Linked DNA regions of Arabidopsis thaliana. The protein of the gene in region 2 interacts with the protein of the main gene of each other region in a pairwise test. Each region holds a gene or a part of one and is shown on either strand. Other genes may lie near its edges. The genes, in order: AT1G76590 and AT1G75710.

What was found.
Region 1: the proteins of AT1G75710 (region 2) and AT1G76590 interact in a two-hybrid assay, tested with the Arabidopsis thaliana proteins (one large-scale study listed by BioGRID).

Annotation. Positions count from the first base shown.
Region 1 is NC_003070.9:28,738,304-28,742,811, reverse strand, and holds AT1G76590 (PLATZ transcription factor family protein), read right to left. Parts: upstream 2,273-4,508; 5' UTR 1,938-2,272; coding exon 1,935-1,937; intron 1,841-1,934; coding exon 1,631-1,840; intron 1,545-1,630; coding exon 1,329-1,544; intron 1,227-1,328; coding exon 918-1,226; 3' UTR 581-917; downstream 1-580. Other genes in the region: AT1G76580 (Squamosa promoter-binding protein-like (SBP domain) transcription factor family protein), read right to left, coding at 4,361-4,508.
Region 2 is NC_003070.9:28,427,101-28,432,107, reverse strand, and holds AT1G75710 (C2H2-like zinc finger protein), read right to left. Parts: upstream 3,438-5,007; 5' UTR 3,303-3,437; coding exon 2,716-3,302; intron 2,628-2,715; coding exon 2,530-2,627; intron 1,684-2,529; coding exon 980-1,683; 3' UTR 769-979; downstream 1-768.

The DNA.
Region 1 (4,508 bases), 310 kb from region 2:
CTTTTCCACCATCTCCCAAGACCCGCCAGATACAAAGATCAGAATGGTCTCTCCGATCTTTAAATCATAGGTTAGATCCAAAAGTCAGTCAAAAAAAAAAAAAAAAACTAAAATACAACTTATACATAAAAAAATTTAACATCAAAACACCATTAAAAGGTGAGGCAACCACGGAAAAAAGGTAGATGCATGACATCATGAGCATTTCAAATGCCGAAAGTTATTAGGATTTAGCGAAGTATTGTTTCGAAGAACCACGTTATATCGTTCGAAAATAAAAAAAAAATTCTAATAGCACGAGTTTAAAGTTGAAACTACTTGATAACCAATTTAGGGAAACGAAGTATTTGAACTGTTGTTAACAATCGACTTCTAAGTTCTAATGACATAAGCTTCTTTTGAGTCGAAGCTCCTTTCCTTGAAATAGATAGACCCAGAATGTTTTTTGCCCCAGCTTATCACCAATGTTTTTGTGTTCTGACAATACTAATACATGTCTTGATCGACAGTTTCTTATTTTAAATCTCGTTATTCGTCTGTATCATTCTCATTGACAATTTAGTTCTTCGAATATTAGCGCTTCAGTTAAAAATCCTAGTTATCATATTTGCTATTTTATTGTGAAGATAGTACACAGTATACGATACAAACAAGTTGAAGAAACATACCTCCTTCAAACGTATATTTACAGCAAAAAAACTATATGAAAACATATTTCAATCCCTTTGAGTACAGTATATACCTAATTTCTATATGTACTATAAAAAGAAAAACCAAACAATACCTGTAAGTAATATGTCTTACAATATGTATATTCCTAGCTCAAAAGGTTAAAAACTACTAACCATTTAGTTACAACATAACAACCACATTTTCTATAATCTACACTATATAATTAGCTTCCGTTAGTATTAATTTTAGAAAGGAGCACGGTGTGGGACGCCCTTCCGTCTACTTGAATTCCGGTGATTATATATCGGCGGTGTCCCCGGAGAAAGTTTAAAACCGCTCTCATCACCGGAGCTCGAAGACGGTTGATCTCCTGACAAGTAATCACATTTAACGGTGGAGATGGAAAGACCACTCATCAGACGGTTGAAAGCACATGTCTTGCGTATCTTAGTTGGTGTAGTCGCTTCATCAGATTCCCACTCACCTTCGTACTCTCTTCCATGCTTCCCTCTCAAAGAGAAGGTTAGACTTGGATCACGCTTCATTCCTCCAAGCTGAAATAAACCAAACAAAAGGGCAATATGGTCATTTCAACTATACAGAGCAAATTCAGATATTCATTCAAAACAGAGGAAAACAGAGGAAAGAAGAGTTACTTTGCAACCGAGAGAGCAGAAACGGAAAGAATCGAGAAGGCTTCTGCAACAGATTTCACAAGTATTGGTGACTCCTTTGCCGATTCTTGGCTGAGGACGTTCGTTCAAGAAAACGATCCTTGCGCTGTTGATTATATATGTCTGAACACAAGATATGTCTATGTACTTCTGAATCTCGTTTACTCTCACAACGTTGTGGTACGATGATCTCCGTATCTGCAAGTAATGAAAATCCCATTTTCTTAACTCTGTTGGGTGAATTGGTAAGAGAGAAAAAAATGATTTGAAGTTGATGAAAGAACCTGGAGGACACGATGGTTTCTGTGATTGAGCAAACAGTAAGAGCAAAAGGCCTCAGAAGAACAGTCAAGACAGAACATGTTGCACTCGCTTTTGTTGGAAGCGGCGTGGATTGAACAAGGGATGAAGTAGTTTGCTCTTAGCATTGGGATTAGCCATGGTGGAGGATTTAGATTGTAGTTATCTTCTTCTGCTCTCATCATCATCGGTCCCTGAAGAATGTTTAGACCAGTTCCAAATGGTTAATATAAGAATTTGCAAAGAAACTAAAACAGAGTTAAGTAAGAAAGAGAATCAATCAATCACCATAGTTATTGTGAGTTTTGATAGCCAGCTTCAACAGTGAAGAAGAGCAGATTTGATTGAAAAGACTATGAGAGGATTTGAGTTTAGTGGGAGGAGGCGGCGGCTATAGCTGAAAAAGAGAAGTTGAGGTTTTTCTTGTTTTTTGAAGTCGGTCACGATAATACTCAATACGTTTTATAATTCACATGAAAATCATTTAATATCATCCCCTTTTTAAACTGTTTTTATATAGTTTTTTCTTTAATTACTTTTTTTGGCTAAAAATAAGTGTTCTCTAATTTTGCTTTAAAGTCTATGAGAGACACACGTATATTTTGTGCACATGTGTGGGTCTCTAGAGACCCCAGAAGTAAAGGAACTTAAAAAAAAAAGGTGGTGTTATTGATAATTTTGAATCATTATTGTTCACAAATGATGATAAATAATTTTATGTCGTGGTTCGCGACAAAATATCGAATTAGCCGACTATATTATTCGGTCCTACATAATTCCCAACGTAGGAAGATATTTTTTCTACCAAATTTGATTGTCTTAATATCTACTACTATTCATTATGTTTGTGATAGATTATGATATTCACATACATACGGATTATTGGAAGTATCATACGGCCATAGAAGAGAACTCTGAGTTTGGAATTTGGATGCTAAATTTTAGCTACAAGAAATAATTTGTTTTTTTCTTAAAATTTTAAAAGGTCAAAATTAGAAACACGTGGCTAGAGGTGAAGAGCCAGAGAGATGGACCGACACGAGAGGAGACAGAACCGAATTGGAGATTCTGGTGTGAACCGTTGGATTAAAAAGACAAAATCTTTTATAATGTAACGTGGCTCACGCTTTTGGCCCTTTTGGTAGTTCAACCCACATGACCAATCTTAGACCGTCGGATGAAGAAGTTGAGTGGACCGTACATAAGCCACCTCTTGAAATCGTAGGGTTCGAAAGCGTCTGTTACGTGCCAAAGAGTTCTTATCATCTAGTGAGTACTTTTCGCTGAAAGTGCTTTAAACTAGTTTCAAGATTGTGTGTGTGTGATCTAAACTGTTAGATTTTTACGGTCAAAGTGATATCTATATTAGTTGTACGGCTTATGTGTGTGTGAAACTGTTCACATATATGATCTCTTTAGGCTCAAACTGTTAGAAGCTTTCATTTTTTTTATCAGCTGTTGACAAAAGAAACTGTACATACTACTATTATCACCGTTAAATCCATCTTAATATTCATACTTGATAGCTTATATTGGGGGCTGGTAACGAATTAATGAAGCTAGAAAGATAGTTTCAATAGATATGATCAAAAAGTTTGCAATTAATTTGAGATTGCGGATGATATGTCGAAACTACGAGTAAGTTTTCTAGTCCCTACCCAAAAATTATGCAATAGAAGTATCTGTCTTCGACGTATTTTTCAGTCCGCTATCTTCTACATATAATAGAGTTTGAAAGTTAAGTCTTCCGGCAAAATCCAATAACAAGTATTTTTAAGTATCTTATCTTAAATGACAAGTAGTAAATAATCAACATAGATATATAATGTATTACTCGAGAAAGAGACCTGATATCATATTATATGGGATAAGAAACCTAAAGAGATAATAATAAAAAGAGAAGTGTGATCCACGTAATCAGATAGTAGCTATCTATAGAAAATTACACATAACAACTAATTGTTCAAAATGTTGGGAGAAAAGTCGACGAATCATCGTCTTCTTTTCTGCGATCTTATCTCTTTCAACTACACACAAAAGAGATTAGTTTTATTGTTTTGTTTGTATTCATAAAGTGAGTAAATTGAAAAATATCCCAAACAAATGTGGGAAGAAGAAGGTAAAGATGGGGCAATGCACTGTTGACCGACCTCAACAATAGTAGTCAATAGCACGAGACTCACGTGACCGTTGTGGTTTATTTGTGAAGAATCATCTTCACTTTTTAAGATGTCCCTTTAAAATGTTTAGCAAGTAGTGGCTAATACTACTTTTACGTAGGATTAACCAAAAAGGTATTACATTACAATTTTACAACAATGTTCAACTACGTTCACAACTCTACAGAGATACAATAAACACACAGGAGAAAACAGCTTCAGTAAAATAGCAACAGCTTTTGTGTTAAGCAACTAAAAACTGTAATTAAGGGAGAATGGGAAATTAACATATGCAAGAATAAAACATAATTAGCCAAATATATAAAAACTTGGGTGTTGTGTTGAAGCTATGTCTGCTCTGACCTGAACCAGTTTCTCTGTACTCTCTGGCTCACCAAAGACCAGTGAGTGATTCCATCTCTGCAATGTCCAAGATCCACATGTCTTTGGGTTTTCTCACTATGCCTCTCATTCTCAGTTTCCTTCATCGCACTTTTTTTTTCCCTTTTGGTATCGAACCAAAAGAATTAACAACACTTAGTTATATAACAAACCTTAGATTGAGCCATAATCAAGACCACCCCAACTGAAGTGAGAGCCTTGTCTGACCATTGGGAAAGCATGCATAAACACGCAGACGCAAACACATACTGTCGCAACCGCAAGCATCGAGTGAATGATCGGAGTTGGGAACAATCGACGT
Region 2 (5,007 bases):
CACTAATGCACTATTTTGTGGTGATCTGAAATCATTTACAAACACACTTCAACAAAACCTCTCACAACATAAGACTAAAAGCAGAAAACACCTTCCCTTTGGAATTTATCTTGCTGATATTCAAAGCTTCAAAGGCCTCAATTAATGTAAAATGTTTCTGCCCACTACAGTTGCATCAACTTTATATCCATCTTTTAATAGAACTTCTGAATTTTAACCTATGCTAGACATATTTGTTGTAAAACTCGAATATTAAACTGGTTTGATTCTAAATCTCTGATTTCATTTGCAACTCCAAGGAGAAATCGAGTTATTATAAAAATAAACAATGTAGCAGCTTCTGACAACGAGGAAAGTTCCAATGGTGCACCCTCTCAGCGTGCAAGCCTTTTTTATTTATGGGTAAATTTTGAACTTATCTGAACCATACCATATAACTACTATTTCCTTCTTCTTTTTTTGACAACACTATATAACTACTAAATTAAAACTATACAATACCCAACTTTTACAAAATCAGCTTTCCCTATAAATATTTCTTAAAAAATAACGAAAAGAACTTGGGTGAATAAAATAATTTACTGAAAACGCATGTGATAGCAATTATATCACTCTGCCACTCCCACACTATTTGATTCCCACCAAGTGTGAACACAGCTATGAAATTTACCATAGTTAACAAAATGTTACATTTACTGGTCAAAAAGCCTAAATTGAGAAATAACACGTTAAGTTCATCATAATTCATAATCATGATTTTTAACCCACTCGACTACTGAATTCTTAACCTAATCATGATTTTCAATAATAGAGATAACCAAGAACATATTAGCTTAGACTCCTGAGAATTACACTTAATAGTCAATAATAAGATGGGAATTATGATGCAGGTTGATGATTATCCCTAATCTCTCCCTATAATATTAAAAAGTTAGAAGTACAAAAAACAAACATTATTTCTCAAGTTAAAATTACAAATTCAAGATTCTAAAACTTTGTAAATAACCACGAAGCAAGGTAATATAGCTCTCGGGTTATAAACCACAAGCTCCTCAAGATTCGAATAAACTCCAGCATTGACCGCCACCGAGTCAAACGTACCACCACTCGAAGAAACTCCAACCACCGAGTTATCCTCCACCGTTGACTTCTTCTCCGCTGTAGCCGAAGCATCCGCCGCCGGTAAATCAACTCGCTTAACTCTCCCAGCGATCACACGGCACACAAGCATCACTCTCCTCGCATCATCGCTACACCTCAGCAAATCATCAGCTCTTCCGCTGCTCGCCGTCGTCCTCACACCGGCGTTTGCGACGTTGGCTCCTCCGCCACCAGATTTTCCTTGGAAACCGTGGCGAATCACGGTGCAGACGCCACAAACAGGGAGGTTAGAGCAGAGAGAAGAAGAGCCACGAGCTCCGAGTGAACAAGTGAGAGTGGTGCAGTGAAAACGTAAGAGCTCGTTGCCGTCGGCGGCACAACGAGCATCTTTTCTGGTTGCTTGAAGTGCACGCGCCTTCACTGCGTCTCGGCAATCCTCAAACCGTTGGATCGTACGTTGAGTGTTGTGGACTTTTAATATCCGTTCGATCTGACAGATGGGACTGTCTTTTTTAAGCCAGCTTGATTTGAATATGATCTCCACTATGTTTCGACCCGAATCCTCCGGACCTAACTCCGAAACTGCAATTAAACGACAACGTTTTTGCTCATAAAATCAGGAAAAATATGCAAGTCAAAACAAAAATCTGAGTTTTTGGGACATTAAAGACAGTTCTATAATTCGGTTTTTGTCAGGTGAGGGGTTTTAATTCTGATACTGTCGAATTGAAAAATGACACGTAATATTTCAGGGGGACATTGAATTTAGTTAAGAGCAGAGACAGCTGTTTCTTTTTATAGTACAATGGTCCCATCGCATGGTAAGTGTTTCCAAGCAAAACGACGGATTTGGAGACCATAGAATATATCTTGTTCTCCAGTTATATTCCTATTCTCTTTTGTATCTTTCTCTAAAAATACGTATGAATCTCTATTCCAAAAACAATCTGTAACATACGGCCAAATCATCCTAACTTATTTGATCGATATAATCACCGACAATAACACTGAGATCTTGATTCCATTAAGAAACAACGAAGTCTAAGATATATATTAATGAAAGCATGTTCGTTAATTATTTGCTTAGCATTATGGTAAATCTATCGATAAATCCAAGGGCCTATACGCCGGAAAACATGTGTTAATGCTAATTATTCAATCAATACTAAACAAACAAAGGTTGTATCATCATTCACAAGTCAAATCATGGACTGAGATCTTAAGTTTTTTTCCAAGGATACAAAACATAATCTTACTTTGCCAAGCCATTCGCATTTACGAAAATCTCACTAGATACTTAGGGTTAAATTTAAAAATGTGACTACCACACACCAAAAAATAAAAAATTGTAGCTAAAGCGTAATTAATTAATTTGAGGTAAGTGATAAAGTCAAACAATTTTTGTTAAAAGGAAAAAAAAAGCCTTACCTGCGTGACGAACTGCTTGATGAAGCTCTAAGCTTTCAAGCTTGGGGAAAACTTCTCCACATTGGGAACAAGCACAAACCCTAGGCGAAATCGGATACCTAAAATTCAAGAACATGAAAATGAAATTACAAAAATATAATTCAGAAGAACATTTACTTACTCATAATTAATTTTTGGTGTCATTACCTGCTCGGGTCAACGATCATGTGACATTCGTAACATCCGGAGAGTTTACGGAACTGCATGGCTCTAAACGAAGTCGTTGACGATGACGTGTAACTCCCACTGGCGTTAGATCTCGTTGAGCCAGATGTAAGAGACCGAGACGAAGAAGAACCGTGTTGACCAGGTTTCCGAGTCAGAAGCCGAGTCTCCGAGTTAGGAGTAGCCGAGTTACCTACGTCTGGTGAGTGATCAGCTCTATGAACCACACGAGTGTTGCCGTGAGCCACGTCTCTAAAGCTGCAAATGGAGCTGCACGACGAGCCAAGCTTGGAAGGAGATAAGTTAGTTGTCATGGACGGACCAGATTGAGAGTTCTTGGAAGGATCATGGACTCTTGACCCTTCGATTTGTTTGCAAGTCAATAGGTTCTTGATTTGGTCCCATGAAGATGGCTGCTTCGGAGGTACTGCTTTCTTCGGTTTCTGCGGTTTATGTTTCTGTGTCTGCGTTTGGTCGGTGGGATTATCGCGTTTCTTTCGTTTGCTAGACGTTGGCTTGTGTTTTTGTGGCGCCTCTGCGTTCTCCGGCAAGAAAGTTAGTAAAGCCATTGAAAGAAGAAAGAAACTCTTGAGAATGTGAGAGTTTCTTTTGTGTTCGTCTTTATGGTTCTTTAATTATAAGCTTTTATTTTTAGGTGTTGAAATCGAAGATGGATCCAAGATGGGTAATAAGGAGGGAAGAAGATTAAAGTAGTGGGCTCTATCTTTCTTTAATTCTTTATTTTACAGTTTTACTTTCTTACCCTTCTGATTAATATTCTTGTCGTTCGAATTTATTAAAATTATAATCTTTTAATAGAAAATAGGGTACTAATTTAACTATATTCAGATATCTTGTTTTGTCAGAGAAAAATATCTTTCTAATTAATTTTGGCATCTGGTTGCTTGCTTTGTTAGTTGTGGATTTTCCTCAAAAGAAAAAACAGTATTTAATTATGGATTTTGGATAGATAGTAAATTACTTTTTTGATGATTATAAATTAGTTAGAAGATCTTGAAGTTAATTTTTTTGGACGAGCTTGGTTGGCTTTGTATGTGCTTTAACTGCTTCATCTATAATCTTCCATTACAGTTTGACCTTCTTAAAGGCGGAATTAGTCAACGTCACTGATGTTTATATTGGTAGTATTGATTTGTTTGGTTATTATACTCAAAACTTTGAATGGAATCTCTTTATTAATAGTCGTTACTACATAATAAAAATGTATAAGTTCACCATTAAAACAAGTTTGATGACAGAAATAATTAGTTTTAAAAATCAAAGTTTGGAGATTCCATGAATGCAAGCAAGACAACAAGAAAAGAAATGGAATTAATTAGTACATCAAAAATATAATAATAATAATAATTCTAAAAATGATGTTGTTGATATGTATGGTCAAAAGTATTTTTTTAACAGAACAAGATTACACGTTAAACACCAGACAAGGTCTTTGGAAACTTCGTATTTGGAACTGTGATTACGGATTCCAAATGTTCTATTTGTCTCGATTTGAAAATTTCAATGCTCTTAATTCCTTGTTTCCTAAATAGTTTGGTACATTTATATCATTTTTACTTCAATAGTTTTTGGTCTCAGTTTGTATGTAAGTATTTCAGATTTATGCAATGTATTACTTCATATTGATAGACTATTTTTTTCAAAGTAATTAGGATAGGGTGTCATAAACTAATCTCAGTACAGTAAATAGAGGTGGAGTTACACTTGAAGTTTGTGTAAAAAAGTATGGGTGTAAATTCATTTATTAATATACTGATTATCATAAAAAACAGTTTAATGCACTAAATAAATAATAATTTAATGTGTAATAAATGTCGACATTATGGGAAGAACATTTTTAATGTGATAACTCAAGTGAGCTTGTATATTTTTAGATTGTGGTAATTGCGTTCAAACACAACACACAATTTCGAGTAATTATATTAATCATTCATCATCAATAACATAAAAGTAAATTAATCATATTTAGGGTGAAAATTTGTAGCAATCAAAAGAAACTACGATTTTAAGGTTGATCGTTGACTATATGTAAAATTCTAAGACCTTCACATTCGCCGCAATACTTGGATTTATCACGCAGTCGCTTTGGCCTTCTCACTTGTCGTGTTCCACATTTGTCCTTCTCTTTTGTTTTAAACTTTGGTTATAAAAATCACCAGAGATTGTTATAAAGTCATTTCGTTTAAAATTTTGTTAAATATGTTATGTTCATTGAGACAAAAGAAGAAACGAAGCGCGAGATCTTGAGAATAT